7 linked regions of the Bombyx mori genome follow. The protein of the gene in region 1 purifies or fractionates together with the protein of each later gene. This does not show direct contact. Links are inferred from orthologs where the notes say so. Each region holds a gene or a part of one and is shown on either strand. Other genes may lie near its edges.

Evidence for each region.
Region 2: the proteins of exportin-1 (region 1) and regulator of chromosome condensation purify together in Homo sapiens (affinity purification with mass spectrometry; 3 studies listed by BioGRID and IntAct, with this or other methods). This does not show direct contact. The link is inferred for Bombyx mori from reciprocal best matches to the Homo sapiens genes XPO1 and RCC1.
Region 3: the proteins of exportin-1 (region 1) and armadillo segment polarity protein purify together in Homo sapiens (affinity purification with mass spectrometry; 3 studies listed by BioGRID, with this or other methods). This does not show direct contact. The link is inferred for Bombyx mori from reciprocal best matches to the Homo sapiens genes XPO1 and CTNNB1.
Region 4: the proteins of exportin-1 (region 1) and nuclear pore glycoprotein p62 purify together in Homo sapiens (affinity purification with western blotting; 4 studies listed by BioGRID and IntAct, with this or other methods). This does not show direct contact. The link is inferred for Bombyx mori from reciprocal best matches to the Homo sapiens genes XPO1 and NUP62.
Region 5: the proteins of exportin-1 (region 1) and nuclear RNA export factor 1 purify together in Homo sapiens (affinity purification with mass spectrometry; 3 studies listed by BioGRID and IntAct, with this or other methods). This does not show direct contact. The link is inferred for Bombyx mori from reciprocal best matches to the Homo sapiens genes XPO1 and NXF1.
Region 6: the proteins of exportin-1 (region 1) and 60S ribosomal export protein NMD3 purify together in Homo sapiens (affinity purification with western blotting; 3 studies listed by BioGRID and IntAct, with this or other methods). This does not show direct contact. The link is inferred for Bombyx mori from reciprocal best matches to the Homo sapiens genes XPO1 and NMD3.
Region 7: the proteins of exportin-1 (region 1) and histone deacetylase 3 purify together in Homo sapiens (affinity purification with western blotting; 3 studies listed by BioGRID, with this or other methods). This does not show direct contact. The link is inferred for Bombyx mori from reciprocal best matches to the Homo sapiens genes XPO1 and HDAC3.

The regions. Positions count from the first base shown.
Region 1 is NC_085118.1:10,175,388-10,179,999, reverse strand, and holds the start of exportin-1, read right to left. Parts: upstream 2,977-4,612; 5' UTR 2,817-2,976; intron 2,490-2,816; 5' UTR 2,394-2,489; coding exon 1-2,393. UniProt on the Homo sapiens protein: Mediates the nuclear export of cellular proteins (cargos) bearing a leucine-rich nuclear export signal (NES) and of RNAs.
Region 2 is NC_085130.1:7,886,588-7,889,951, forward strand, and holds part of regulator of chromosome condensation, read right to left. Parts: intron 2,629-3,364; coding exon 2,580-2,628; intron 1,773-2,579; coding exon 1,627-1,772; 3' UTR 1-1,626. UniProt on the Homo sapiens protein: Guanine-nucleotide releasing factor that promotes the exchange of Ran-bound GDP by GTP, and thereby plays an important role in RAN-mediated functions in nuclear import and mitosis.
Region 3 is NC_085116.1:12,310,869-12,314,766, reverse strand, and holds part of armadillo segment polarity protein, read right to left. Parts: intron 3,495-3,898; coding exon 3,303-3,494; intron 3,020-3,302; coding exon 2,905-3,019; intron 1,711-2,904; coding exon 1,556-1,710; intron 1-1,555. UniProt on the Homo sapiens protein: Key downstream component of the canonical Wnt signaling pathway.
Region 4 is NC_085134.1:6,717,745-6,722,395, reverse strand, and holds the start of nuclear pore glycoprotein p62, read right to left. Parts: upstream 3,175-4,651; 5' UTR 2,998-3,174; coding exon 2,931-2,997; intron 2,744-2,930; coding exon 2,687-2,743; intron 2,406-2,686; coding exon 2,304-2,405; intron 1,817-2,303; coding exon 1,689-1,816; intron 1,101-1,688; coding exon 1,022-1,100; intron 648-1,021; coding exon 523-647; intron 1-522. UniProt on the Homo sapiens protein: Essential component of the nuclear pore complex. The N-terminal is probably involved in nucleocytoplasmic transport.
Region 5 is NC_085124.1:4,529,496-4,534,134, reverse strand, and holds the start of nuclear RNA export factor 1, read right to left. Parts: upstream 2,964-4,639; 5' UTR 2,579-2,963; coding exon 2,521-2,578; intron 2,306-2,520; coding exon 1,712-2,305; intron 1,389-1,711; coding exon 1,198-1,388; intron 763-1,197; coding exon 653-762; intron 1-652.
Region 6 is NC_085115.1:7,001,411-7,005,738, reverse strand, and holds the start of 60S ribosomal export protein NMD3, read right to left. Parts: upstream 2,966-4,328; 5' UTR 2,835-2,965; coding exon 2,779-2,834; intron 2,671-2,778; coding exon 2,536-2,670; intron 1,996-2,535; coding exon 1,845-1,995; intron 1,126-1,844; coding exon 882-1,125; intron 186-881; coding exon 1-185. UniProt on the Homo sapiens protein: Acts as an adapter for the XPO1/CRM1-mediated export of the 60S ribosomal subunit.
Region 7 is NC_085122.1:11,622,289-11,626,766, reverse strand, and holds the start of histone deacetylase 3, read right to left. Parts: upstream 3,019-4,478; 5' UTR 2,694-3,018; coding exon 2,453-2,693; intron 1,670-2,452; coding exon 1,481-1,669; intron 1,264-1,480; coding exon 989-1,263; intron 633-988; coding exon 445-632; intron 18-444; coding exon 1-17. UniProt on the Homo sapiens protein: Histone deacetylase that catalyzes the deacetylation of lysine residues on the N-terminal part of the core histones (H2A, H2B, H3 and H4), and some other non-histone substrates.

The sequences.
Region 1 (4,612 bases):
TGCACGATTGCTGCCATGCAAGACAGTACTTCAGGCTCACGAGCTTCAGGAACAGCAGTCCTTTGGTAATCCAAAAGCACAGCATCGAGAAGAGGTGGAATAAAGTTTTCCAAAACCATACTGTTATCAATCGAGCGTGTAACCCAACTTGAAATAAGGTTCAAAGTTTCCTTTTTTATTATTCTCATATTCTTAATGAGAGGTTGTTTAGTAACTGCTACGCCATTTAAAGCTATGGCTTGACTTATATTTTCAGACATTACTTTGTAAACATTAAGCATGTCAAGGTATATCCTTCCTAATTGCACAACATATGGGTGTGCTAGTGCACGACATGCACGCACATTTGTTTTCAGTATACTTACAAGTTGTTTAACAGCTTCAGGGTCTTTCAAGATTTCAACATTACGAGAAGCTTGAGATATAATATCATCCCAAACTTGATTAGGCAGAAGCATGTATTTTTCAATTAAAAGTTCTTGGGCTACTTGATCTACTTGGGCACTGATCATGTATCCAACAGCTTCATAAAAAGTGTGAACTTGCAATGTTTGTAAATCACAAATTATAGTACTAATGGTGCCCAATATTTCTTCAATAAAAGGACAGGCTTCTCCAACTTGAGTAGTGACAAAATGTCGACGGCATTTTATAGCAATTTTTATGAATGTATCACACGCCATGTCTTGGACACCATCATGTGTTTCATGCATGAATTCAAAAAGTTTATTGACAACGGTTTTTAAAAATTTCCAATGTGCACGAAGAAAGCGTGGGTATTGTCCTACGACATACATTATGTTACTAGCAATTATAGCTTTGTTATCTTTTCCCTTTTTCTGTTCACAGAGACCTAGAAGCTCTTTAATCACAATAACCAAAAATCTCTTTTCATCATCCTCAGATAGAGCTCCAGAAATAGATCCAATTGCCCAACATAATGTGTTCAAGTTCTTCCATGACCACTCAGTACCATTTACTTGATTTTGTAATTTCTCTGTCATAATACGTTCAGTATCTAAATAGTCTAAATGTGTCAAGTAAACTAATGTTTCTCTCATATTTTTATACAAATTAATGGAGTCTGTGTCCTTCATAAATTCTCTCACAACTTCACCATTTTCATTTTCAACAACTAACACCTCTTCTGGTTTTGCCATTCTCGAGATCATAATATACCGAACACTGCTCAAGACATCAGCATACAAAGCTTTTCGGCCTCCACTTTTACCCAAATGGTACAAGTTTGACGAACATGGCGCAATTTTGTACAAATCAGCAGCAAGAGCATTCCAATATTCAAGACAAATTTTGAAAATTTCTACATCTTCTACCTCTGATATTAAGACAAGATACCTCAAACCATTCATTAAAGTGTTTGTTAATCCACTCTTTTCTATGAGCGGACCATGCTCTTTTAGATATGTGCATAAGAAAAGTGCAAGATTTTGAATAAAAACTTGTTCCTGATCTCGACCAGCTACATATGCTTCACGTATGTTTGTAGTTAGAGGAAGCATAACTTCAAGTTGTTCCATAGTTTGTACAAACAAATAAACAAACTGCTGATCATAATTGCTGACTGTGACACCGGCAATTTCAGTAAGACAGCTCAATGTTACATTCCTAAACATCGGCACGTTCAGAAACTTAAATATCAATGTGCTTATCAATTTCATTTCGAAAATATAACCAAGTGGAATCCAATTTAAAAATCTCAAAAGAGTGTCTAAGGTCACTCCAACTAAAGGTGCATTTTGTGAATTTTCCAAGACAAATTGGCATAGCTGAAAGATTTGACTGAATTCTGAACACATTGTATCTTTTAGATGCTTAGCTTTTGTTTGTGTGAGCTGGCCTGTACTAAACATAAATACTTCTTCACTCAACAACTTGAATATTTCCATATTGTTTTGACAGAGACTTTCATTCGTCTTTGAGGCACCCACAATGTCACTGATAAAAGTTTCCCAATTATGGGGCCATTCTCTTTTCAGAACTTGAATAAGGATCATGTTTAGTTTTTTCAAATAAACTTTGTTGCTTTCCATCGTAACAGGATCTGATGAATTTTTAATGATAAGGCCAACTATATATTTTTTTATACCCTCACACTGATTTCTTGGTAATATTTTCCATCTCGTTAGTATTACTTGTTCTAATATTTGTAATGCATAATATTTAGTTTCTTGATTTTGAGAATATTCAAGTATTGTATCAACACGAGTCCAAGCATCAGGATGTTCCTTCAAAGCAGTCAGTATATCCTGAGCAACACGTTGTTGATCCCCAACAGCAGAATATAAACAGCCAACAATGTTGTCCAATAAATTGATGTCCAATTTTTGATTGAAATCCAAAAGTTTAGATGCCTGTTGTTCTAAGGTTGCCATTCTGGTAAAATATATTTATTTAGTTAATTTGTTCCCTTTTTTCCAAAATCAAAATTATTTTGATTAATCCACATTCATTCCTCACCTTATACAACACTGAAAATGAAACAAAACTCTGTGTTAACAGACTCTACTGACTCTAACCTCCATATCCTAATTGTTTGTTTGTTTAACAAACACCGACTTAACAATTATGCTAGTAAAAACTACTTTTAATACTATAATTCGGTTAAGCATTTAACTACAAACTGGGCAATTACATCATTAATTGTTTAAAACCACTAAATAGAGCACACACCCCGCAATCTTGTTGCAGATTTTACTACAAGTACATTCATTACACTAATCACAAAACGTGTACTAAGTGTAGGGATACTCGTTAGAATTGTAATTTTTCAATAACTTAAAAAGTGAATCACTTACCCGAGAAAATAATTTGCGGCGCAATCAATCTAACGCACTACCATACATACTAATCCGTTGTTTTCATGAAGCTTGAAAAAGCTTACACATTTAGTCTATGGTCATAGAAAATACTAGTGCGGAACTCCTGTTGAACGTTGCATTGCATTGACTACAGTTTACTCAATGTGATTTCTTTTAAAATTTAGTGGAGAAATCTTCTGCAAATTTAAAATTAAAAGCTAATTAATAAGAAAAACTTATTCACTTCATTCTATTGCTAATTTGGGTTCAAAAACAGAAATATGGACTTTTTAAGTTAAGTGAAGTTAAGTTGTAAGTCAAGTTAAGTCAGTGTAGCTTCCCATCTCATTTGTTCAAGTCCGTTAAGTTTCAGCAAATTTACACCAACCAACACCAACTACAATTACATTTAACCACAAGTTATTGAGATATTACTTCTTTTTATCTCACTTGCTAGGCTGTATGCTAATATTTTTTATATAATTTTTATGTTGCCATTGTAAGTTGTGAAAAATAAACTATTTTTTTTAGTTTTTGGTATCTATGGTATTTTTTATCTATGGTATTTTGTGATTAAAGGCTTATTACACTTGGCTGAATTTAGTCGACTGACTTCAGAAGCAAATTTAGAAGCTTCTGATTAAACTGTTTTAAATTCAGTTACTGAATCAATTGTCAGTTTAAGCGCGACGAAGTAAGACGTGTCGTGTGCGTAAGAGGATGGCCCCAGTATTGTCTAGACAACAACAAATTTTTTGTTTTTATTTTTTATTTCAATTTCTCAAAAAAAAAACAAGAATATCGGTAAAGAAATATTTATTGCTGTGCGGAATGTTAGCAAATATGAACATTAGAGTGATTTAGAACCAGCAGACTTCAGAAATTATCTATAAATGGATTCGATCTCGTTTGACCTAATATTAAAACTTGTGACACCGTTTATTCAAAAGCAGGATATTATCCTACGATAGTCTATTATATATCTATTTTATAACTATTACATATCTAATCCTACGATATTATAAGTCCAAAAGAAAGATTGGTTGTAACATGAAGATTTCTTGCAACAGGAAATACGTATCAAGATTTAAAATTTAGTTTTTCAATATCCCAACCCTTTATGACAAAAACTATTCCTGAAACATGTCGGGCTATTTATAAATGTCTGGCACATTAAATAAAGGCGACCGAAATCAATACTTTTTATTCGGAAGCAAAAAACAAACTAAAACGTTCTTACGCACGGAGAGCTATGGGACGACTGAAACCATTAAGTAACTAAATGCGATTACACCTTCCTAGATGCATTTCTAATTAGGCTTCTAAATGATTTAGTCAGTCAGAAACCATCCTTGCTACTGAATTCAGTAGCGACTGAATTATTTTTGTAATTTTTAAGTACCCAACCTTTACATGACCGTTCGAAAGATTAATTTATAATAAAACTCATAGAAGATAGTAAATACCATCACTCAACTTGCTAGGGCCAGTGTTGGCAACACTACCGGTTTGAGCCTCGTGAGCTAAACTACAAGGAGAAGCTGAAATAGCCTCTCAAGGATATCAGCATAGGTAGAAAACAAAAACACGCAAGCTAATTTGAAAATCAAACTGTTATATTACATATGATCCTGTTTAGCATTTATTCCTATTATAAGTATATTCTACAATCAAATTAGAATGTAAAATGAAAAAACAATGATATCAGTACCTAGTTGGAGATGTTCATGGACAAATTGAGAGACCTTAGCAGAACTAATGACGAACATGTGCTACGCAGATGACACAACACT
Region 2 (3,364 bases), on another chromosome or scaffold:
ATTGTGTCTTAAAAGCTAAAATGGATTGTGGAAAATATTAATTATTGACGATACAAAGAAAATGTTTTAACGTCTGAACCTTGTATTAGAACGGTTAATATGAATTTAACCGGAGAGTTGCTAACACTGGCCCTAGCAAGAGCAGTGCTTCGCAGAATCTACCACCGGATCGGAAACGCGACCCACTGAGAAGATCCGGCGAGAAACTCAGTGGGCTGTGTCTGTGGGTTAGTTAGTTTCTCTCCGGTTGAGCCCCGCGAGCTCACCTACTAACGTTAGGGCGAAGCTGAAATAGCCTCTCAAGGCTATCAGCATAGGTAGGAAAAAAAAAAAAAAAAAAATGAATTTAAATAATAATTAAATGTAAAACTTTTGATACGAATTTCGGGATATTTCTTAAAATCTTTTACACATGAGTCTATCGTCACGACAGAATAATGTTCGCATGCACACGTCAGACGAGTTAATGATATCGGCCCAACCATCGCCAGTGCCACTGACATGTCACCACGAGAGCCCTGTACAGAACTAAGCCCAAACTGTCGACCATATTGCCAAATTACCGAATGACGTCCAAAACACTAATTCTTAGATACGATCGAAATAATAACAGGATCCCAAACTATTGACCTTCAGGTCACTTCACAAGATTCATCCGACGAGGATGCAATCAAAGCTACTTCTACAGTTCTCGTGGTCGTCGCCCGTGACCAGCTGCGATGGAGAAAATAACAATGTCAATGGACATGACAATGCAAACGTACTACAATAAAAGTAGTTTTGATCGCGTCCCCGGCTCGTTGAATCCGTAAGAAACAATTATAAGCGAAACTGTTGACTGATTATTCTTTTTAAGGCTTCAATACGCAAAAATCAAGTTAAAAATGTATTTTTTGATATCAGACTAATTAATAAATTAGTGATATAAGATTTAATTCTACTATTGTTGTTTAGTTGTAATTAAGACTTTTTAAAAAATCGATCTAAAATAACAGTTCCAGTTACAGATATTAACTCGTCTCGACAGATTTAACTTATCTTTGATCGTGTTTTTAGTACACAAATTTTCACTGGTGGTAGGACCTTTTGTCAGTCCGCACGGGTAGGTATAACTACCCTGCCTATTTCAGCTGTGAAGCAGCCGTTGTAACTATACTGAGACCTTAGAACTTACATCTCAAGATGGGTGGCGGCATTTACGTTGTAAATGTCTATGGGCTCAGGTAATCATTTAACACCAGGTGGGCTGTGAGCTCGTCCACCCATCTGAGCAATAACAAAAAAAAGTGTGTATGTGTGTGTAAGTCCCACACGGTACAAGTGAAACTTATAAATAAGATATAGATAACCTGAGTATCCCACTACACAGGAGCGTACATATGGACAATGTTTAGTAGACGATAGTGGGGATGCCACGAAGAGTCTAATGTGTTCTATCTCATTCTCTCGCCGGCTAAATCCTATACAATCATGTGTTTGTGTCTCTATGGACTTATTTTTTCGTTTCATCGAGTTTGAAATCACAACGTTTCACTTCAATAATCAGTCAACCGTTCCGATCTGTAACGTTTACAATGAATGAATGTTTTTGTGGCTGGAGTTGGGTGCCGTGGTGGGCGACGTCGCTCAGCAGGCGGGCGCGTGCGTGCCGTTGTGCGGGTCGGGTTGCCTGGCGCGCGGCTCCGGCACCTCGCTCTTAGACTCTTCCTCAGGTTTCGTTTCTCTTTCGTCTGCCTCGTCTTCCTCGGATGATTTCTCTTTTTGTACCGCGTCTGTTGTAAGCCAAACAATATATATATATATATTTTATTGCTTAGATGGGTGGACGAGCTCACAGCCCACCTGGTGTTAAGTGGTTACTGGAGCCCATAGACATCTACAACGTAAATGCGCCACCCACCTTGAGATATAAGTTGTAAGGTCTCAGTATAGTTACAACGGCTGCCCCACCCTTCAAACCGAAACGCATTACTGCTTCACGGCAGAAATAGGCAGGGCAGTGGTACCTACCCGCGCGGACTCACAACAGTTCCTACCAACAGTATATTATTTATTATATAATAAACATGTATAGTAGAGCGGTATTACACCAGTATTTACACAGTGAAGTTCCACGCTAAAGACACTACTTTTCGTTGACTCGTTACTGGCGGTAGGACCTCTTGTAAATCCGCGCAGGTAGGTACCACCACCCCGCCTATTTCTGCCGTAAAGCAGTAATGTGTTTCGGTTTGAAGGGCGGGGCAGCCGTTGTAACTATACTGAGACATTGTAATTCATATATATCTCAAGGTATGTGGCGGTATTTACGTTATAAGTGTCTATGGGCTCCGGTAACCATTTAACGCGAGACAGGCTATGAGCTCGTCTACCTATTTATGCCATAAAAGACAAATGTTATTTCGTTACTATTGGACCTGAAGACTGTGGTACTCATGTTGCGGTGCTCCCCATACCCCGCGTCCACTCTGCACCCGCAGTTATTATTGTCTAAACAATTCCCAAGCTCACCGAACTCAACCCCTGACCTTACTGCCCCAGTTTTGTCGGTCGGGACGCGACTACTAAATATCACTCACCAGTTTCATCAACCTCCATGGGAGTCTCTTTCTCATCTCCGTTCACTTTCTGGAAACATAACAAACAAACACACAATCATTATATGACATATAACAGCACAATATTACTTCTAGTAGATATCAAATTTTAGTTCAATTTTACCGTGTCAATAAATATGAACCGACGTTTAAAAGAAAACAATATCAATATGTTGATTTTTTTTTATTGCCCTTGTAGGCAGACGAGCATACGGCCCACCTCATGGTGAGTGGTTACCGTCGCCCATGGACTTCAGCAATGCCAGGGGCAGAGCCAAGCTGCTGCCTACCGCTTAATACTCTCCACAAGCCACGTTTGAAAAAGGACATGTCATAGCGCTCGGGAAACACCTTGGAGGGGAGCTCATTCCATAGCCGGATAGTACGTGGCAAAAAAGACCTCTGGAAACGCACTGTGGATGACTGCAGTGGTTCCAGGTAGTATGGATGGGCTCAATTAATAAGATACTAAGTCACAGCATATAATACTTTGATTTTGAAAATATGACAATAGTTTCTATTCTACTTAAAAACATATATTTAAATCAAACAATACAACTAACTACCGATTGTTACTACCCCACACCGGTTCAAAAACAATATATATGTCACAAACATTACAATAAAAACGAATTAACTTTGTTTTTATTATACACGCGACAATGTATCTTATAATTATTGTGTGGAGAATTCAATTTGTAACGTGTTGATACGAGGACTGATACCCCCCCCCCAACACCCCTGCCCCTCACTCTGAATACAACAAC
Region 3 (3,898 bases), on another chromosome or scaffold:
TAAAATGGTGCAAATCATAAATAGATTTCGATTCAGTTTTTGTGTGAAAATAAAAAGAAAAAAGAAATCTCTCTATAATCTCTCTATAATCAGCAAGTAGCATTAGTTTTATTTAATAAATTTCAACTGAAATAAATACTATAAATAAAAATCAAATAAAGACAATAGCTTACTTCGACGCTTGAAAGGCAAACGTGACTAATCGACAATAACTGGTTTGTACATAAATGATAGGCAATAACCGTATTTGATGCGCAAAAAAATATATTTCTAGGTCTATTAAAATAATTTCAATCCTACAGCTAGATTTGTTAAAATAGATTATTTTTCAGGTATTTCAACTTTAAATTAGTCTACTGTAAAGTTCACTCATTGTCGTTTTTTTTTTATTGCCTTTGTTGGCAGACGTGCGTACGGCCACCTGATGGTAAGTGGTTACCGTCGCCCATGGACTTCAGCAATGCCAGGAGCAGAGCCAAGCGGCTGCCTACTGCTAAAGTCACTTAGTCATGTTTGCCTTTCAAGCGTCGACTTAGTTCATAGACATCGAAAAACTCGACAAGGCAACACTTAAGCACCAATATCAGTTATAACTAGGAGTGGGTGATATAAATCGTATATAGATTCAATATCTATATATCGCAGCAATATCGTTGAATCCGATATCGCTCCGCACGAAATCCATATATCGATATCAGCCGATACACGATATTGCTCGATGTGATGCGCATCGGCATATCGTACCGATTCGTGAATATCGGCAATATTCGTTTGGTTCGTATCGAATCGGCCAGAGTGAGTGAGCGCACGATAGGGATATCATGTGATGAATGAAACAGAAACAGGCATTATCCATACAATTGTAAACCTTATATTTAAGTCCATATGTCTGTAGATTATTCTTAGCGTATCAGCAGGATACAATTAAGGAAAGAAGTTTCAACTTTCGACCCTAACTTGAATGCAGTATAGCCTATTTGCATCGTTGAATTTAATTTCACGCGCTTTGACCTTGAACTAGAATTTTTGGACAAGTGTTTATAAATACTTAAAAGTTTTTTGTGTTTGATTTTTAAAGTACACATTTTTTTATTTTTAGTTGAATCCAAATAATTGAGTTTATTTCTTGTGTTTGTATTAAACTTTTGAAATCTACACTCTTTTGGTATATTTTGTAATTTGAAATTAAGACACAAAATACTAAAAACTGAAAATAATGTAGCCAGTCCTAAGCCTGGTAAAAGCATGAAAGAAAGTTTTTTTGATATTTTTATTTTCATGTTCTTTTTATTACTTTAAGATCATATTATAAATTGATATCAGAAAACCAACCGTATAACGTTGACTTAAATCTATATCTACTACGATATTATATCAGCGTATCGTTTCAAATCTCAAATATCATGAATCGAGAAAATCTACTAGCATCCATCAATATATAGATTCAGAAAATATATAGATTCAATATCCGATATTGATCCTCGATATATAGATACGATTCGATACGCGGCAAAACCGATATTACCCACTCCTAGTTATAACCGACCAAACTCACCTGTATATCGGATTGTATCGGAAGGTCATTGGACCACATCTGGTGATCGTCGCGGAACAACGAATTAGTCAATTCCATAGAGAGTCTCTTCTTGTAATCGTGGGGCTTGTCTTCGGACATGCGGAACAGAACGGCTGCAGCGTACGTGGCGACCCCTGCAATATTCACACATCAACTCCTTCAGAGATATGTTAACAATGTTACATGTTTCTTCCATCACTAAAATTTTCCATATTCCCGCAAGTAGAACAAACCTCCTTAAATATTCCCCTTTATCAAAGATTGGTAGTAAATATAACCAAATATGTGCATTAATTGACGGCATCGACATTTTTAACGATACGTGTCCTGGTCTCAAAAACAAACTAGTATCAAAGTTCCTTTGTTTATAATTGATGAGAGAATGTTAAGTAGTTAACTATTGTTTTCATATTATTTTTAATTTTTTGTTGTTTTTTGTCGTACTGTTAACATTAAAATTTAGCCTATTTTTCAGCTGTTTGTAAAATTGCTGTAACATGTCATAATGTGTTATAAGAGATTGCTGTACATGCCTGTAACTGACTTACATACAGTACTTAATTTTATACATGTTAATTTTAAGCTTGAATGTTTTGTGTGTATTGCTGTTGGTGTGTCTAAATAAATAAATAAATAACACACAAAGTTCTTATGAAGGATTGTTCAGTATAAAATAAAAATTGGTTACTATCTGGTGTTTTCAATTATTACTGTTTTAAATTTACTAACATATTTAAAGACATGTACCTAAATGTATGAGAAAATAATGTAAAGATTAAAGGGAGAATGTGGTCTATCGAAGGAAATATCATAGATTTTAACACTATGTTAAGGCATAAATTTACAAAGATTCTATTCTGATAACCCCAGTTTCGCTTCGAAATCGAGAGCGAATACATATTCATTGAAATAACATCTACTCGAAACATATTCGCAAATTTTCTGCTGAGCTGCGTGTTTATTATACATCTATACTTAATATTATAAAGCTGAAGAGTTTGTTTGTTTAAACGTGATTACCCAGGAAGTACTGGTCCGATTTGAAATTTGAATTCTTTCAGTGTCAGATAGCTCATTTATTGAGGAAGGGTATAGGCTATATGACATCACGCTAAGACCAATAAAGAATGCGCTGCGGGAACGGTTAAAGTTACGCTAAAATAATGTATGACAAAATTGTTCCCATTTAAAACATTCTATTTTATCAAAAACATTTTCCCTTTCTACGTAAATGAAGAGGCGAGTAAGATTTAGCGTTATGCCAAAGTAACTATTCCACGCGGACGAAGTCGCGGGCAAAAGCTAGTAGTATTATACTAATATCCAACCTTCATTTCTTGAATGCAGCAATTCAGTGAGCGGAGCGGTTGCCCCTTCGGCTTCGATCATTTCTGCTCCTTCTTTCTCTACGGCCAATTCACAGAGCACGCCGGCGGCAACGCGCTGTTTACAAAGTTCATATGAGTATAAGTACCACATTTCATGTGTATATAAGTATATATTTTAATGTAAGTTTATTAAGATATAGCACAATCCAGTTCGCTTATTCCTCTCCCTGCAAAGTTGCCTGGAAGAGATCGCTTTCAGCGATAAGGCCGCCAATTTATGTCACCGACTATTATTTGTTTTATATGCTTACTCTGTACATATAGCGTTAAATAAAGTGTTATATTATTATTATTTCAAATTTAGTTTTAAAAGTTTCCAATAGAAGAATAACACGAACCTGAATATTTTCAATCTCATTGAACAACAGTTGCACGAATATCGGAATGACGTTCTGCTGTCGGATAAGTTGTCTGTTGTGGCTTTCTTTGGCTAAAATATGCAAGGCTCCAACGGCGCCTTCCACGATCTCCTCCATACGAACGCCGTCAGCGTAAGCAGTATTGGCTCCACCGCCCGAAGAGCTGCGTTGCTATATTGGTAAATAATAATTGAATATAAGTAAATATTTACTGGTGGTAGGACCTCTTATCCGCACGGGTAGGTACCACTGCCCTGCCTATTTCTGTACAGCAGTAATGCGTTTCGGTTTGAAGGGTGGGGCAGCCGTTGTAACTTTGTAACTATACTGAGACTTTATATCTCAAGGTGGGTGCCGCATTTACGTTGTACATGTCCATGGGCTCCGGTAACCACTTAACGCCAGGTGAGCCGTGAGCTCATCCACACATCTAAGCAATAAAAAAATAGTGTGAGTGAAATTGTAGTTAATACACTCTGGGTGGTGATGTCTTGGGTCGAATGGTCGAATCTGAGGTAGGTATTATATTTTCTTTAAATCCATTGCGTTCACAAATTCTTATTCATTTTATTTGG
Region 4 (4,651 bases), on another chromosome or scaffold:
AGCCCATAAACATTAACAATGTAAATTTCACCACACACTTTGAAGCATCAGCTGTAAGTCTCAGTTCTGTAGTATAGTAGCTGCCCCACTCTCCAAACAGGATAATTAGCAGGGTAGTACCTATCCTTGTGGGCTCGGAAGATGCCCTAATACCAACACAACCTGGCTACGTTTGAGCTGTTGCTAATGTTAGCTAATCCTAAATGTTTCCTGGAGCACACTTTGAGCTATAAGGCTTTCAATTACCTTTGTAAAATAGTTTTTATAACTATTTAATTTTAATCAGAGTGCATGATTACTTTGCAGCAGAAACAGTGTAGTGTTAATGCTTACAACTAGGTAACTACTATATACAGACTGACATTGTCTCCTGGTTTCAACAAATTATTGTAATCAGAAGTTGGATTTAGAATAGTTACCTTTGTACCTTAAACTTAACAACAAAAATAACAGACAAACAAAGGAATTAACTGGAGATGATCTAAAAACGATTTCTTTTTTGGGATTGTAACAAAAACTTACAGTACTAGCTTGCGGTGCTGAGAAACCAGATGTAGGTGTTGAAAAACTAAAGCCAGCTGTCGTTGATGCCGGCTTCCCGAAGCTAAAACCTGTATTTGCACTGGAACCGAATGCTGGGGCAGCAGCTAAAACAACATGTTCATACATTTCCTTTTCTTAAAATTTCTGTTCACTTTATTACTGATGCAAGCAAGACGTACTGGTGAAGTAATTATAAATTTCGTTTGTAAGGAACAATGACTTAAAACTTTTCTGAACTTTAAGTCCAATTTTCATAATAGCAAAAGCTGAGCGCTAGTGCATTTACAAAAGCAATATTATTATCCTTTTTTTTAATTTTAAATTTATAATTATCCATGTCATCTGCCATGTCAAAATAATTATATTTGTCAATCCAGGTCTTAAGCTGTGTTACCATTATAATCGTCATTTTAGTATAATATCATTTATATATTCATTATAATAATAAATTTATAATATTATTATATTTATAACCAACCTTGTGTGGCAGGTGTACCGAATGCCGGTGGTGCTGTGGTGGTTGCACCAAACGACAGATTCTGGGCCTGTCCTGCATTCTGTGAAATATTCACTAGCATTACAAGGCATTAACACATGCAAAGGAGCACAGTGAACGACATATAAGAGTTATGTAGAATGTAAGCATTCTCGAACTAAGAAAGAAAAGATAAGTAGAATGTAAGCATTCTCAAACTAAGAAAGAAAAGATATCATTTTTTTCACAACAATTTAACAATGGCAGAACATTGTTTTTTTTTTTTTTTATGTCTTAGATGGGTGGAAGAGCTCACAGCCCACCTGGTGTTAAGTGGTTACTGGAGCCCATGGACATCTACAACGTAAATGCGCCACCCACCATGAGATATAAGTTCTAAGATCTCAGTATAGTTACAACGGCTGCCCCACCCTTCAAACCGAAACGCATTACTGCTTCACGGCAGAAATAGGTAGGGCGGTGGTACCTATTCGCGCGGACTCACAAGAGGTCCTACCACCAGTAAAATTTACAAATATAACTGATTTTTTTTCCACTTAATTTGGTGAAATGCAAAATACAGTATTGATCGATAAACGCAGCTGGAGACATCACACCAAACTGACGAATAGTTTGTTTAACAGGCTCCCAACAAAATTACTGTACACACCTGATTTGTTGCTTGCCCAAAGGCAGAACTGCCAACTGTCTGATTAGGAGGTGAAGTGAAACCTCCAAAGGGTGTTGGCTTATTCGCTCCAAAGCCTGCAGTTGTAGTCGTTGTCGATGGAGATGAAACTGCCATACAATACATAAGTGTGAGAGGCATTTGTTATGAGTAGAATGTTTTTCGTAATGTTTGATGTAAGCCTCTTTTTGAGCAGGTAGGTTCTCATTGTCTATAAAGAGTAGGGCAGGAAAGGTTCAAGGCTCTTACATTTTGTGATTCAGTAGTGTGGTGATAATTTTGATTAAGCACTATGTTATTTTGTTATTTGTAGGTCAATTCTATTTTAGTGTTAGATTCATTCCTGGAGTTTAATTTAACTTTAACTTGTATGAAAATTGTATTTAGAACATAGGATCTGAGTGTAAATAAATATTTATGAAATATTGATCATTTAAGAACCCCTTTGAGGGATAATTATAATTTTTTAAATAATTTTTCACATGTCAGCTAGGAGTGTTAATAGTTGTTTAAATATCTTTTGCATGTCTTTTGGCTATGGTTTAATTACAACCATACAGTATATTCAGCGTTAAGTAAACAAAGGCCATTACTTACATGGTGAAGGTGCTGCATTTGTTGTTTTAGCACCAAATGCAAAACTGCCAAATACTGGTGCACTTGTTGTGGGACTAGTGAAGCTGAATGTTGCTTTGTTTTCTGAGAGATTAAAAATATTATTTGCATTTTCTATATGCTTTTGGGATTCGATTCATGTTTGGATATCTAATGAGTGTACTTCATCTTTTCTGAAAATATCCATGTCTCTTGGTTTAAGAAACCAGCACCACTGTTAATAAATCTTGATTTATTAACAGTGGTGCCTTAAATTCCCTTAGTCCCTTAAATTTTTACTGTCTATTTTTGTTACTTGTAACAGAAAAATTCAGATTTAAAATATCGCTTGTATTTGTTACCGGAAGTTTTTGTACGCATCGTACCTGTGTTGGATCCACCAAATAACGGCTTTGAAGCGTCACCGCTGCCAAATGAAAATCCTGTAATTACATCCAATTAATTAATTTTTTGATCTTAACGTGAAAAAAGTGTGGTTATATTGTTTACATTGACAATTTAATTATTGTTTAAAAAAACATATATATCGTAGTTCGAATCGTATTGTAGAGTATTTCAATTTATAAAGCTTCAAATTGGAACATGATAATCAAACCAAAAAGAATTTACCTGTTGATGGTGTTGGTGTACCAAAAGTATTAGACGACGTTGTAGTAGTTCCAAAAGAAAAACTCATTTTGTAAACTATAGATAAACTTATGTAAAAGTAAAATAGTTTAAATGATGGAAGTATGTATATTTAGATATTTCAATAAATGTTTAGTAAGCACTACTGTTTGCCGCCGTTAGAAAATTTACCAACAGTAAGATTTATCGAGATATTAATCATTCGTTCAAACTTCAATGTGTCAAAAGTCACTTTTTGTTATGTCCGATCAGACTGGCAAAAGAAACGTAGCCAATTGATTTAAACTGGAATTGAAAACCTTGTGTGAGATCTCAAGCCAGGCAGATTGCAAGCATATTTTTTCCCGTGTTCTCATCGCAACCAATTCTAGAAAATGAGTGTCGGAAAGGAAAAATATATGAAAGATAATCGTGGCAAAAGAAGAAAGATAAGGCATTTAAAAGCTAAAACTATATTCTTATAGTACATAGTATAAAAAATACCTAACAATGTTTAATTACCCCATTTTTTCTCGTCACCTAATATGAATCCTAACGATAAATGTGAAACCGTAAATTATCTTTCCAATCCAACTCTCTATACTCTGTTCAATTCAAATCAATTTACTGTATGTGATTTTTAAAGGCAATCTCTTCCATACCTTTAAATCGCTTTTGATAACATCAGTTGGATGATAACAATAACAATTTTAGATGAAATCATCCATATCTTTTGCCACATCCTGAATTAAGCAAGTTTGTTCCAAAGTCGAGTTTGATGGTGTGTTCCAAAGGAAAGGAAAAAACGAGCCATCGCGGTAAAGCTTGTAGATTTGAAACATTGATATTACTTTGTACAAGTATAGATGTTTATATGGATAGCTTAGAATAGAAAATTGGTGTGGAATATGAAAAATACAATAATAAAATGAGACAGTCGCTTGTGCATGGCGATGCGTTGCCACGTCAGCAATCAAAAAAAGAGCTTAAGTAGCTTAGCATTTTTAAAGTATTTGTATATTTCATATTATTTTTATTTCATAAAACCTAATCCGCTTACATAGTAGTGGGGCCCCATTTTTTTATTTGCCCTGGGGCCCTTGGTTACCTTGTTAGCCACTGTTTATCTCGGCAGGTAGATTCGTGTTTCATGCTCGCATTACTATATCAGAACACTATTTTAATTATTTATATTTATTTTATTAAGCCACTGCTACTATTTTCGCATGAGAGTTATGGAAATGTCTAAATAAGACGTACATAACCACGACCACTCCGCTAGGAGTGTACGACTGAGAAGAAAAGAAAAAACTATCTCAGACGTGGTGTGTGTGGTTTTAAACTTTTTGAATAACAATCCATTGTATACAAGTGCACAAATATGAGGCGTAAAGTTTTCAAAGTAAGTTGACTACCTGCATACCTACCTACTTAATATTTTATCTGCCGTACTTATTCTCGTAGGTTCCATAGTGACCAATGAAGTAGGAAACCTATGGAAATGAAACGTCAACCAAAATTTCGTGCCACTGTGACGTCATCTGGCCACAAAACATGGCGGCTTTAGTGCTGTACAAAAGATTTCAATGTTATCAGGTTTTATCGATAAACGTTCTTGGCTCATTTTATTTTAAATATTGTTGAGTATTATTTATTTGTAGAATTTATACTTTAATGGGAAGTAAGTAGGTATATTGTTATGTGCAAATATGATATGATTTAGA
Region 5 (4,639 bases), on another chromosome or scaffold:
TCCTTAGTGAAGCCCAAGTACTAATAATTTTAATATAATTTCATAACAGCAATGTACAATGGGGATGAGTCTGATTTTAAATTATTCCACATATTTGATATTATGTCTCATACCACTGCACTAAAACTCTTCCAAGATTACTAAACAGTTGGGCCATTTTTACATATAATGCTGTGAGTGACCTATTCCTAGGTAAATATTTTTAAATGTTACTATTTTGTATCAATTATTTTAATACTCTGATAAATATGTGAGTCAGGGGAATATGGAAATAAGAAGGCTCATTGTCTGTTGGGACATTTCCCAAGAAATTTTATGGAATTATCCTGCCAATTTTTTGCTATGTAAAATTATGTCTTTTAAAAAGATTAGTCAACTATAAGTATATTTTATTAAGGGATATTTTACTGATTTTGTTATAAACAGTATAGGAATATAATATATGTTATCACAAATTTAACTTATGATAAAAAACATCTTTACTCATTTCATCTACTTAAACAAGCACAATTCAGCAACAGTACTGCCACAGTTTGATTTTATATAGCTGTCAAGTTTCCATGGCTTAACGCTAATGGTAAACTGTGTTATAGGATATTCAAAATATCTTGGGGTGTGACCCCAAAGATACTGTCTACAACATTAGCGTTACCTTATGTAGATTTCGTGATCATGAAACCTGTTCACCAGTGGGTTTCCTTTGAGGTATAGCTCAACTAGCGGTAATGATCTGATTGGGTCCAGTGATCCAAGGAATGGAATCTGGAAAAGGTTTAAATGATAATTAATGTACATTATTGGTTTTTTAATAGCATTCATATATTTTTAAAGATGTCTTTCGTTTACTACATTTATTTTATATTTTACTAATGTAATGCAAATGATGAGTTAGTAGAAAAATACTTACACTACACAAAATTGAGAAAAATGTCTACCTTAACAATCAGATATAGTGCATGTGAAAACAAATTAATTGCAAAGATTGTTAGTTGGGGTATATAATAAAGAAAAAAAAAACCACAAATTTATTTGTCAAATGTAGATAGGGATTTTGTATCCTACCTAATTACTGTTAGCTTGTGGGGCTATTCAAACTATGCCTAGATAGGAATGTGCACTGAAGATGATGATATGAATATGAATCAGTCATTTGAAATTTTACACTGGTCTAAATTGTCGTAAATGTATTTGTCTTACCCTATTATCGCCCATATACAATATTTTCAAATTCTTGAGCTTTGAAGACAAAACCTTGAGATGCTGCAAACCATGAAGCTTATTATCATTTAGGTTCAAAGCTTCTATGTCTGGAATATTCTCTGCTATTATATCTATAGCAGCCAACATTATCATTGGACGGAACAGTGCACAAAATATATCTTCTAGATCTGAAAAATAGTATTATTTCAATATTCACCCAGTAAAACTATTGTCTTTACATTCTATAAAATAACTGGTTATAAATATTGTTGTTACATTGCTGCATTATAAAAGGGCAAACCAGTATGCGCTCTTAAATAGATTATAGCTTATGTGGGCCCATAAGAAATTATTCCCAAAAGTCTAGCTTATTATATCTCTAATTGAATGAAAAAGAAATTATAATATGTATTACTAAGCTGTTTACTAACAAGTTGAATTTTAGACATTGCAATGAATGTATTGTAAATAATGAATATGTAAAGCAATAACAATATAATTGGACAATCACCTGGATCAGCATGGAATTTTGTTAAATCTAATGCCTTAGTTGTAGCATTATACCTCTTCGCCATTGTCAATTTCATCTTCTCTTTCATGGCAGCGTCAATGGCCATGTTTGGAACAGCATTCCTCACAATAACAATTAACTTAAAACCATCTGACATAGTGATCTTTCTATCAGCATTATAAAGTTTTTCAGCTGTTTTGACATCATCAACATAGAATACTGCAGCATTTCCATTGACTTTATAGTAATGTGGAATGAATATGTCGGGTGAAAGAAAACCCAACAAGGCTCGGAGGATAACATCTTTTTCATGTTTTGCTCCATATGGAATGATTATTTGGTACCAAGGCAGTACACCAGGAATAAATTTCTTTTTAGTGTGTCCGTGGCTTCCTTGCGGAGCTGGAGAGTACATTCTCCCACGTCCCCTGAAAGAACTTTTCCGGACCGGTCCTTGAAGAGCAGAACTACCCATGTCAATATCATCATCAAGGAGGGCTAAAGGATTTTTCCAAGTTCGAAATTTATTTTTTCCTTTAGCTCCAGGTTTAAAACTGACATGTCTCGGCACACTATTGACACGGTCATCGTGTTCTGAAAGTATATCATTTGTAAATCAAGTATTAATAGTCAATAACTTTAAAAACTCATATATTATTCATTGGTATCATGAACTTTATGATGCATGATTTTGCCTTTATGTATTAAACATAAGTAGCGCTAACAACAATGGAATACATTATTTTTTGATAATTCACTGTAGGAACTACAAAATCACAACAGAATATAAATAAAAGTGTTCCACTTACCAAAATGGTCAGTATCAGCCTTCCAATTTCTATTCCTTCCACCGCCACGTTTTGGCATCGTGTCGAAGAAGCTTTAATCACCAGTATACAAATACCGTGAAAGTAGTTCTTTAAGGTTTCCTTATTTTCTCACATGCGTGTAGAATAGTTAACTGAGATAAAGCCAATGATAATTGAATAATAGCTTTTTTTAATTAACAACGCAAATTACAAAAGAGTTAAACAACTTTGATGGTGTAAAATTACCCTACACTCAATAAATTTTAAGTATGGTTAGTTAAATTATATATTTGGACGTTATTAGCAATCCAAATATTTCCAAAATTAATCACCAAAAACTAAATAGCGTCTCTCTTGTGAATCTTAAACCTGTTCTTTTTCAATGTGAAACAAAATGGATGGCGACATTTGTAGATTATACACCTGTATAACCTATGGATTACACTTCGTCTTTATTTTTGGCTCCGTACGGTTTGTGCATTAGCCAGCGTCAAGTAAAAGATTTTTATGTTTCGCTGTTTTAATTATTGAAAATAGTTTATGAATAATAAAAAAAACGAAGGAAGGGTCTCAAAGGAAATGTCATATTTAAAAATATAATTTTAAAAAAAGTAAGGAGTTTATTGAAAAAATGTTTATTACATATTAAAATACACTGTTTTGGAATTTATTTTTTAAAAATGACATCGTCGAAATGTAAACCGTTGCGTTCAGGGCATTCGTTTAATCGAGCACTAAAATTGCCTATGACGGCTCGGCAGGTGTTCTCCGTGATGGCTTTCGTGATAGATATTTTCTTTTAATTGTGTGTGAAAGTCGATTTGTTGGTGTAAACTTTGGATTTGATATAACCCCACAGGAAAAAGTCCATAGATGTCAAATCGGGACTGCGTGGAGGCCAACTTATGTCACCTCTCCTGGAGATCAATTTGCCAGGAAAAAATTGACCTCTGACCAGTATCCTGAAGTTTTAATTCTTGCACCAACTGAATTTGTACGGGTGCAGTTTTAAATCTTTATGCAAAATAGGGCATCACGACGATCTGTGCACGTTTAAGGCCACCGCACGCTTCTCAATTGAAAGGTTCAGATCGTCCCGAATAGACTGGGCAACACTGTCTACGTTTTCGAGTGTTCTCGAAAATCTTGGACGACCGGATTTTGGTTTTTCCAGGTTATAGTAATAAGCAGAGAAACGAAAATTATAAAAGAACGAAATACGAACCTAACATTACAAATGGTGAAAAATAAAATTTATCAAAAAAGCAAATAAGCATAAAAAATGTCCCTGACAATGACTCGTCAGGGGAACGCACATAAATAAATAAATAAATAAATACTACCATAAGACGAATTGTTGCTGAAGGCAGATCTAACAGAGATGTATTTAGTACGCAGGGCAAAAAGAGGAAAGGTGGTAAAAATACTGCGCCTTCCTTATCTTCCTCTTCTGATAAAGACTTTTTTATGGATGTGCAGTATTTGGAACCATTTTTAAGTTTTTTTTTTTTTTATTTTTTTTTTATTGCTTAGATGGGTGGACGAGCTCACAGCCCACCTGGTGTTAAGTGGTTACTGGAGCCCATAGACATCTACAACGTAAATGCGCCACCCACCTCGAGATATAAGTTCTAAGGTCTCAGTATAGTTACAACGGCTACCCCACCCTTCGAACCGAAACGCATTACTGCTTCACGGCGGAAAATAGGCGGGGTGGTGGTACCTACCCGCGCGGACTCACAAGAGGTCCTACCACCAGTAATTACGCAAATTATAATTTTGCGGGTTTGATTTTTATTACACGATGTTATTCCTTCACCGTGGAAGTCAATCGTGAACATTTGTTGAGTACGTATTTCATTTGAAAAATTGGTACCCGCCTGCGGGATTCGAACACCGGTGCATCGCTTCAACACGAATGCACCGGACGTCTTATCCGTTAGGCCACGACGACCACTAGTTCTGATAGCCTATAATTAATTTATAAATTCATGAAGAGTAATTGGAGTTTTCATCTAAATTTCGAACCCCACATTCGCCACAGTAAGATCTTCAAAAATTATCCTTGATCGTTGATTTGTTCCCTTTTTGCCATCAGATCCTGGTAGACCTATACCAA
Region 6 (4,328 bases), on another chromosome or scaffold:
AACACTGTCCTTAGATAGAGGTACAATTTCCACACTGAATGTAAATTTGTAGTTGTATATATTGCTATGTATGTCATGCGAAATTAGTTTCTTGGAATGTTGACATTTTATAGGCAGAACAGATTGAATAAAATCAACCATTTTGCGCGCATGATTCTCTGTTGAATAGAAGAAATCTAGTCCATCTGAAATTATTTAAAAATATGATAATTGACAATAAACATAATTAGATTTGCCGAGAAAACAGTGGTATCGGTTCTTTCATATCAATAATATCATTTATAGATTAAAATTATATATCAGTATTCACACTAGTGTTAGAGTTTGGTCTTTATTTTACCGCCATTAGAGTCTGAAGTGATCGCCCTCACCTATGATGAACAGCTATGACAATGACAATATCAAATCACTGGCTACCAGTGATGCTTTGTTTTATGAAATAATCTATTTCCCATGTTTTATAAGGAAAATCAGCTACAGTATTGATTCTACAAATCTGAAGAGTTCTAAAAATACCATAACAATATGCCAATCTATACTAATATTATAAAGCTGAAGAGTTTGTTTGTTTGAACGCACAAAACTCAGGAACTACTGGTCCGATTTGAAAAATTCTTTCAGTGTTAGATAAGTCATTCATTAAGGAAGGCTATAGGCTATTTAACGTCACGGTAAGGCCAATACAAGTGAAGCACCAATAAATAACATCCTATAATTCAAAAATATTTTCAATTTCTACGTAAATGAAGAGGCAGGTAAAATGTAGCATTATGCCAAAGTAATTATTCCACGCGGACTGAGTCGCGGGCAAAAGCTAATTAACAGATAAATCTTGTGCATTCTATTGTGATAAAAGGCAAGTTTTAGAAAACTTTACATACCATGCTTGGGCTTGATCCCTAGAGTATTTTCATGAGCCTTATGCTTCAATATCAATTGTTCAAGATAGTAAAATGTTTTCCTGTTATTAGCTCTTTGTCGTACTTGCACTAAAGCACGCCAGTAATCTTGAGCTTCTGAACGATGGCAAGCATCGCACATTTGATGTTGAATTGTAAATTCAACTATAAATGTCTGCTGGAGCACTGCTCCTCCGATAACTTCGCCTTGTACAGTTAGTTTTACCTAAAATTCAAAAGAGTTTAATAGCAACATCAAAATAGAAATAATTTAAAAAAAACCTTCAAAATATCTGATAACAATTACTGCATTTATAGTTTTAGCAAAAAAAGTTATATTTAATATTTTTGTTTGGTCACTGTTACATAATATCAATGTAAGCTGGTGACACAGCATTCATAAGTATATTAGTTGTATTCTTTTTAAGTCTTAGAATGAGAACCATTCTCAATACCAAATAAATGTTGCCCTGGACCATACACTAATGGCTAAGTATTATTGTTTGTATAAAGAAATGTATTTAATTTGGGAATGTTAATGGTAATCTATTTGGATACTTATTTATTTATATTCAATATTGCAAAATGTATGCGAAAATTTTTAATTATTGAACCAGTAATTTCAGACAACGTAGATTGAATGAGCAATATTGTCCTTATATTTAATAATTACATTTGTGAATATATTTGAGACTGACTGAAACATATTGATAATATCTGTTTAATATATTTTCCTTTTATTTTAACTTTTATTTTCTTATGAATTTTAATACTCATTTTGAACTCTTTATTCTCAATCAATACAATTAATGTTAATCATTACTTGAAACCTTTCTCACTTTAATTCTAAAACTGGATAGGAAGTATTCTCACTATTATTGGATACTTCTAGATATATGCAAACAACATATTTGACAGTTCAAGACAGTTAAATCATCAAAATACCTTTATTCTCTTCGAATGTGGCTCAGTCCAAGCAAAACCAGCATCAATTAACTTAACTCTGCTCAATCCTTTTAATCTCTTGAGACAGAGAGCTAAGAGTTCACGTGACTCTAATGCACACACAACCCACTCAGAGGGTGGTTGCAAATATCTAAAAAAAAATTTTGATGATATAACTTGAAAATTACATATATTTTCAATGATGATATGCAAAATTGTGAAGAGTTTCACGTTTATAAATAATCAACAAGTGTTTACTGACTTCATTAATATTTATTTTATAAAACATCAAAAGAAGAAAGAGAAAGTCTCTCGCTATTGCAATGGATTTGCTACTGGAGCTAAACCCAAACGAGGATTAACGTCAGGCAGACGGCCAGTGCAAATCTCTGGTGAAATTGATGCCCTATGCAGCATGATAAGAAGACATAGTGGGCTGCCGCATTGCACATGCCATTATAAGGGGTCATATAATGTGAAATAAGTGCAAGAAGCAAATTATTCACCATCTCCTTATAGATATAGAGAATCTGCCAGAAGATCTAAATTATAGTACTTAATAGTAAGTACAGCTGATTCTCAGAAAATATAACGACAGAACAAATTGTAAGACTGTTTACTGTCACAGTTTCAAATTCAGTGTAATTATCCACGTTTTTAACTTCTTTCTGTCTTAATCAGATAATATTACCTTTCACAACCCCTACAGAAGAATAATGTCGCTTGTTTGGGTATTCCATCTGTGATGTCTACATGAGCCCTTAAACAAGCTACACACATATTTGAGGGGTTTGCTTCTATAGGTACAGCACACTGACAGCACAATCTGTAATAGACATTTTATTTTCTAAGTGCTCTTGAAACTATTCGAAGTGTAATAGTGTTTAATAATCCTATATTTACATAAATCACTAAAACTCCTATTCATACATACATTCGTGTATTGTTGCTTAAAGAAGCGTTTTCTGGAGCAAAGTATTCCATCTTCATTTAGACTCAACACACGCGACACAAAATTTAGTTTCTAGTCACTGTTTAAAGAAAAATGCTTTTCACAGTAGACCAATAACAGCAGGTTTGTACGAACATAACCTCTTCATTTTTTCTTTTTTTTTAGGGATTTTATGACCTGATAACTAAGACTTTTAAGTCATGTTTTATTTTAATTTATATTCATATTTTTATGCAAAATGATATGGAGTGAAATGAAATGAAGATGATTAATTTAAGACATTAATCAACTGGAATGAAATGAAATTAAATGAGATGAGATGATATGGGATGAAATATAATCTTAGTAAAATGATGGTCAATATTTACTGGTGGTAGGAGCTCTTGGCCGTTTTCCAATTACAGCACAAGAGCGCATTATGCGGCATATTGCTCAACTAATCTTCAGCATAATTCGGCATTATGCGTCACTGAGTCGCATTATGCTCTGTAATTAACCATTACTTAATGGTAGTTTTCCAATCATAATGCGACTCAGTGACGCACAGTGCCGAATTATGCTGAAGCTTGGTTGAGCATTATGCCGCATAATGCGCTCTTGTGCTGTAATTGGAAAACGGCCCTAGTGAGTCCGCGCGGGTGGGTACCATCACTTGAAAGCTATAATGGTAAATATTAGAACAGACTGATCAATGACACGTTTGACATGCTCATGATGGTGCAATTCCAAGAATATTAGGATCTTAGGGTTAGAATATTAGGATCATTTTATGCATTTTGAAGCCTTAAAGCCAAGTTAGATTTTCTAGACCGTAATAGGCATCACATCACCTACTTGGTATTGGGTTCCACCCTTTTTATACGATTTGTAGAATTGTTGTTACTATAAATTTTGCCAAACTTTCAGACATATTAAATACCTTCTATGCCTTGGCTACATTTTTGCCTAGTCTTGTAAATAGTACGTTAGCTCCTCAGTCTTAATAAAATTCTAGTTAACGCAATTAATGGTTATAGTCCAAATAGCATCCATATATTTTATTGTAGCTTTAGGTGCATAATATTTTGAATCCAGAAAATTCTAGTTAACGCTATTAATGGTTATAGTCCAAATAGCACCCATATTTATTGTAGCTTCAGGTGCATAATATTTTGAATCCAGAAAATTCTAGTTAACGCTATTAATGGTTATAGTCCAAATAGCACCCATATTTATTGTAGCTTCAGGTGCATAATATTTTGAATCCAGACCAGTTCGATTTTTTTCTATGTATTTCGAAGCGAAATAAATAATTTTCAGATTCAATTTCATATCGAATGTGTCGAATCAAAGTGACTCAAACTGCTTTCGCGACTTTATCAGATCTAGACAAATTTTTACGTCTTCTTAGCTTTCATGGACCCATCAAAAAGTTTCAAGACTTAAAAATGTTTAAACCAAAATTCAAAATCACTTTTAATTCCTTTCGTAACTTTTAAAATTCTTATAAAACATGCATTGCAAACCCATAGATACTTTAAATACACGTTCAT
Region 7 (4,478 bases), on another chromosome or scaffold:
CATTTCTCAAGGTATATCTGCAAGTTCAAATCATTTCATTCATTTTAATGTTATCATGTTGTTTAATGTTATCAGTTCATTTTAATGATTAAGAGATAAAAAGGGGTGAAGCTCTGATATTTTTTATTAATTATTACTGGTGGTAGGACCTCTTGTGAGTCCGCACGGGTAGGTACCACCGCCCCGCCTATTTCTGCCGTGAAGCAGTAATGCGTTTCGGTTTGAAGGGTGGGGCAGCCTTTGTAACTATACTTGATATCTTAGAGCTTATATCTCAAGGCGGATGGCGCATTTACGCTGTAGATGTCTATGGGCTCCAGTAACCATTTAACACCAGGTGGGCTGTGAGCACATCCACCAATAAACAATAAAAAAAAAATTACTTATCATGTCAATAACAATTTATGAACATTTAGTTATCATTAAATAATAAAGAATACTCACCCTCCTCCGCCCACCACCAGGGTTGGCACATTTAAGTTTTTAACGAAATTCACACACTCGCCATGACCTCTAGTTGAGAGTGAGAAGCATCCAAGCCTATCGCCAGCCAGCGAGTCAGCACCGCACTGCAGTACTATCGCTGTAGGTTGATACCACTCCATCACATAGGAGATCACTGGTTTAAATACCTTTATTCAATTAAAAGAATGATCTATATTATACAGAAGACACTATACAGAAGAAAATCAAATTCGCAAAATTATAATTTGCGTAATTACTGGTGGTAAGACGTATTGTGAGTCTGTACGGGTAGGTACCCCCACCCTGCCTATTTCTGCCGTGAAGCATTTCGGTCGGAAGGATGGGGCAGCCGTTATAAGGTCATTATTTATGTTGTATGGGCTCCAGTAACCACTTAACACCAGGTAGGCCGTGAGCTGGTCCATCCATATACACAATAAAAAAAAAGATGAAAACTATTATAAATACTGTTGATTAAAAAAAAACATTCTATTAATTAAGATAATAAATCATCCAAACTGACCTGTATGTAGCTTTGATCATCTATGCCTTCTTTCAGTGGTACATTTACCGAATAATATCGTCCACTCTCTGCACCAATTTCATACATATCTCCCGTTCCAGGGAAGAAATAGTTCCCATACTTGTGGAAACTAACCGTCATGACTCGGTCAGTGAGGTAAAAAGCTTCTTGAACCCCATCTCCATGGTGAACATCAATATCTATGTACAGAACCCTTGGATGATATTTTAGGAGCTCTAAAATTGCTATTACTATATCATTGACGTAGCAAAATCCTGGAAAAAAAACAACCTTTCTGTTACATCTTAACAAGTGAATTAATCTATTTAATATTGAAAACAAGATCACCACTTATTAAGCTTAACTTGTTACATAAGGTTATAAAAAAATCACATTATGTGTTCAGTTTTGCATAAAAATACCAAATTTCATTTTGAAATAATTAAAATTGAGGTTCATATACCCTAAGTAATTTAAACATTTAATAATCACCGGAAGGTTCAAATTTCTTTGCATGATGCAAGCCCCCAGACCAGTTGATGGCAATGTCACAAGTGTTATTATTTAGCTTCATAGCACCTTCCAATGAAGCTCCAGTGTACATTGAGCAGAAATCGAAAAGACCTTCGAATACTGGACAGTCGTCTCCAACATTATAGTGCAAAAGATCTTTTGAGTAACCTATAATAGGAAATAAAGGGTCATAACTCTAAATTGATGGACGAGCCCAAAAGCCTCATCCTGGTTGTGGCCAATTGTGCTCCAATAATTAAGAGCCAATAAATATCACAATTTGAATAGCAGTGTGGCGGTACCCATCATACAACAGAAGATATTTGACAGATGCCTGAATCTCGCTTACAACATTTTCAAAATAAACTTGCATGTATACAAGTTCCGGACAACAACATTTGGAACGTCGGTCTACCAAGTAATATCACGTCGGGGTCACCAGTATGGAGGGATATACGACAAAGGGAAATTCTTCCACTGAGTGGGTAATGTATGATGGCTACCACCACAACACCACCCTTAAACCCTAGTCTACTTAAAATCTGGTTGGTTAAACTGTACTGCCATTTAAACTAAACTACACCAAATCTTTGTAGCAAGGTGTTATTTTAGTATTTTAGAATAATCTCACAAACTGTATATATCTTCAAAACTAATTTACCTAATTTACACAAAACTCAAAAGTGGCAGTGGCAGTTTACTTCAAATTAAAAACTTCATATACATATTTCGTATGAATATTTGATAGAAATAAGAAAGTGCTTCCCCAGGAGAGCAATCCTCTGGAACATGGGCAACCTAACAAATACTTCTGCATATGCATTTTCAGCACAACCACAACTCAGACAAAAGTGTCTAAGAAGATATAATATTTAGAAATGACAGTGTAAATTAGTCCAATATGTTGCATTCTTATTTCAATCATTCCGGGGGCACATTGAAACAACTCACTCTGTATATTTTGAGGAGTTACATTTTGCAGAAACTCTATGTAGTCCTCGCTGTGGAAACGGCACATATCGTGAGCGCTGGCCCTATACGGCTTATATATCTGCATTTTCTTATGAAGACCATACTTCAACACGAGACAATGCGTCACAGCCAGCCTGTGTGGTTTCATTGGATGCCCTGGACCGTAGTGGAAATTACCCACGTCCGGATTATAGAAATACGCTACCCTTTGTTGAGTCATAGTGGATAAACAAATACGAATTCTTTCAACACAAAAATAATACTCAAAATGACAACTATCACTATTAAACGCTTCGTTAACTGGACGTCGCCGAGCATGATTTATGCTGCCGCTTCATAATGCGTTAACAATGATGCAAAAGTCATCACTGCTTTAATTATAATTAACTATCGAGAACTGCTTTTTGGAAATCTAATAATACTAATGATATTAGTACTTTTTGTGTTAAAAGGTATGTTTTTATTTATGAATAATTTTTGATTCTTCCTTGTAAATTGTGAAATGTGACACAATTTGTAATCATTTCAGTTTTGGCATATTTTTTTCGTCATTTCTAGTTCGATAGGCAAAAGGAACATAGAGGCCTATGTTATTAACTTTAAGATTGAAAGCATCTTTGTATATTTTTAATAATTTTATTTCTACTCTGGAAATGAGAAACTTACATTGATTAGATTATTACGCCACGTATATGTTAAACAAAGAGGAAATCTCAGCTTATTCATAATTCATAAGAGACGTCGCGTCGCGTCGTACTGAATCGAGAAACACGGCCAGATAAGTCATTCAAGAACTCTTATAAACAAGAATGTCAAGAATGTTTGAAAAACGCTATCGTTGGGTTGATGCACCACCTGCTTAGCTCGTGCAAATAAGGAAAAAGGAAAGAAGAAGACGGGAATACGATAAAAAATTCTTTCATCAGTTTGAGAGTGAAGTATAATTTACGTACAAAGTAAATTTTGAGCATGCTGAAACACGACTCGATGAACAGATGCAAAAAAAACTGTGCTTGTGAGTTGCTGCAAAGCTAAATTTAGTCGAAGTCGTAGAATTTCATTAGTAATTAAAGATTATTGATAAACAAAGTATCAAATTATCAAAATCTCATAGAAGCTGCAGACTTTTTGTCGTGAACATATGGTGTAAAGATGCATGAATTGTTTTATTTGATATATAATATCATTTTATTTTTCACACTACAGAAGCAATTTTGTTCTTGTCACAGTAAATTTCTCTGTGTTCCCTTTGCCTACCAATACACGAACCCAACTAAAAAACCTGTGGTCGGTACGGTCCGGTATTTTATAACCTGTCAAAACTTTTTGTTTTGAAAATCTGCATCTACCTTTACTTTAACAAAAACTTGAACACAGTTGTTCATTTGTTTCAAGAATAGCTTTTTCAGTATATTAGGTAAGTCTGTCATATTTTTTAAGCTCACAGTTCTTCTTAACTACATTACAATGAAAATCAATTTATATTTTAGGTGCTAGATCATTCTAGATGTTTGTTAGTTTATTTTATTTGCAAAATTACGTAATTAGTGATACTTAAAATTTGCAATTCTTTATCATAAGGTGACAAGAATAGATAGGAACCTACCTACTACAGCGCGATAAACTAAAACTTTTTACTGGGTAATGCTGCCTCATCCTTCTTGACGCGGTTTTATCAATATCTACATACCAAAATAGAAACTTAAACAATATAGTATTTTCCACAGATAACACACTTAATATTTAAAGAGTATTCTCTTCGGCTTAGGCGAATCTTAGACATAATTAAATCTGTCTACTTTTACCATTTAATCTCGCATGAAGCAAATTCGAAAACATAACAGTATTCAAATGTCGAAGAATAACACCTTAAAGCCGGCATATACGGGCTACTCGAGCAGATCGCCATTGATCAATATACACGGACCGCTCTTGCAGTCGTAGTCAACAGCTTGAAGCTGACATTGATAAATCTCGTTGCACTTACTCGTTGCGTTGACTTAAC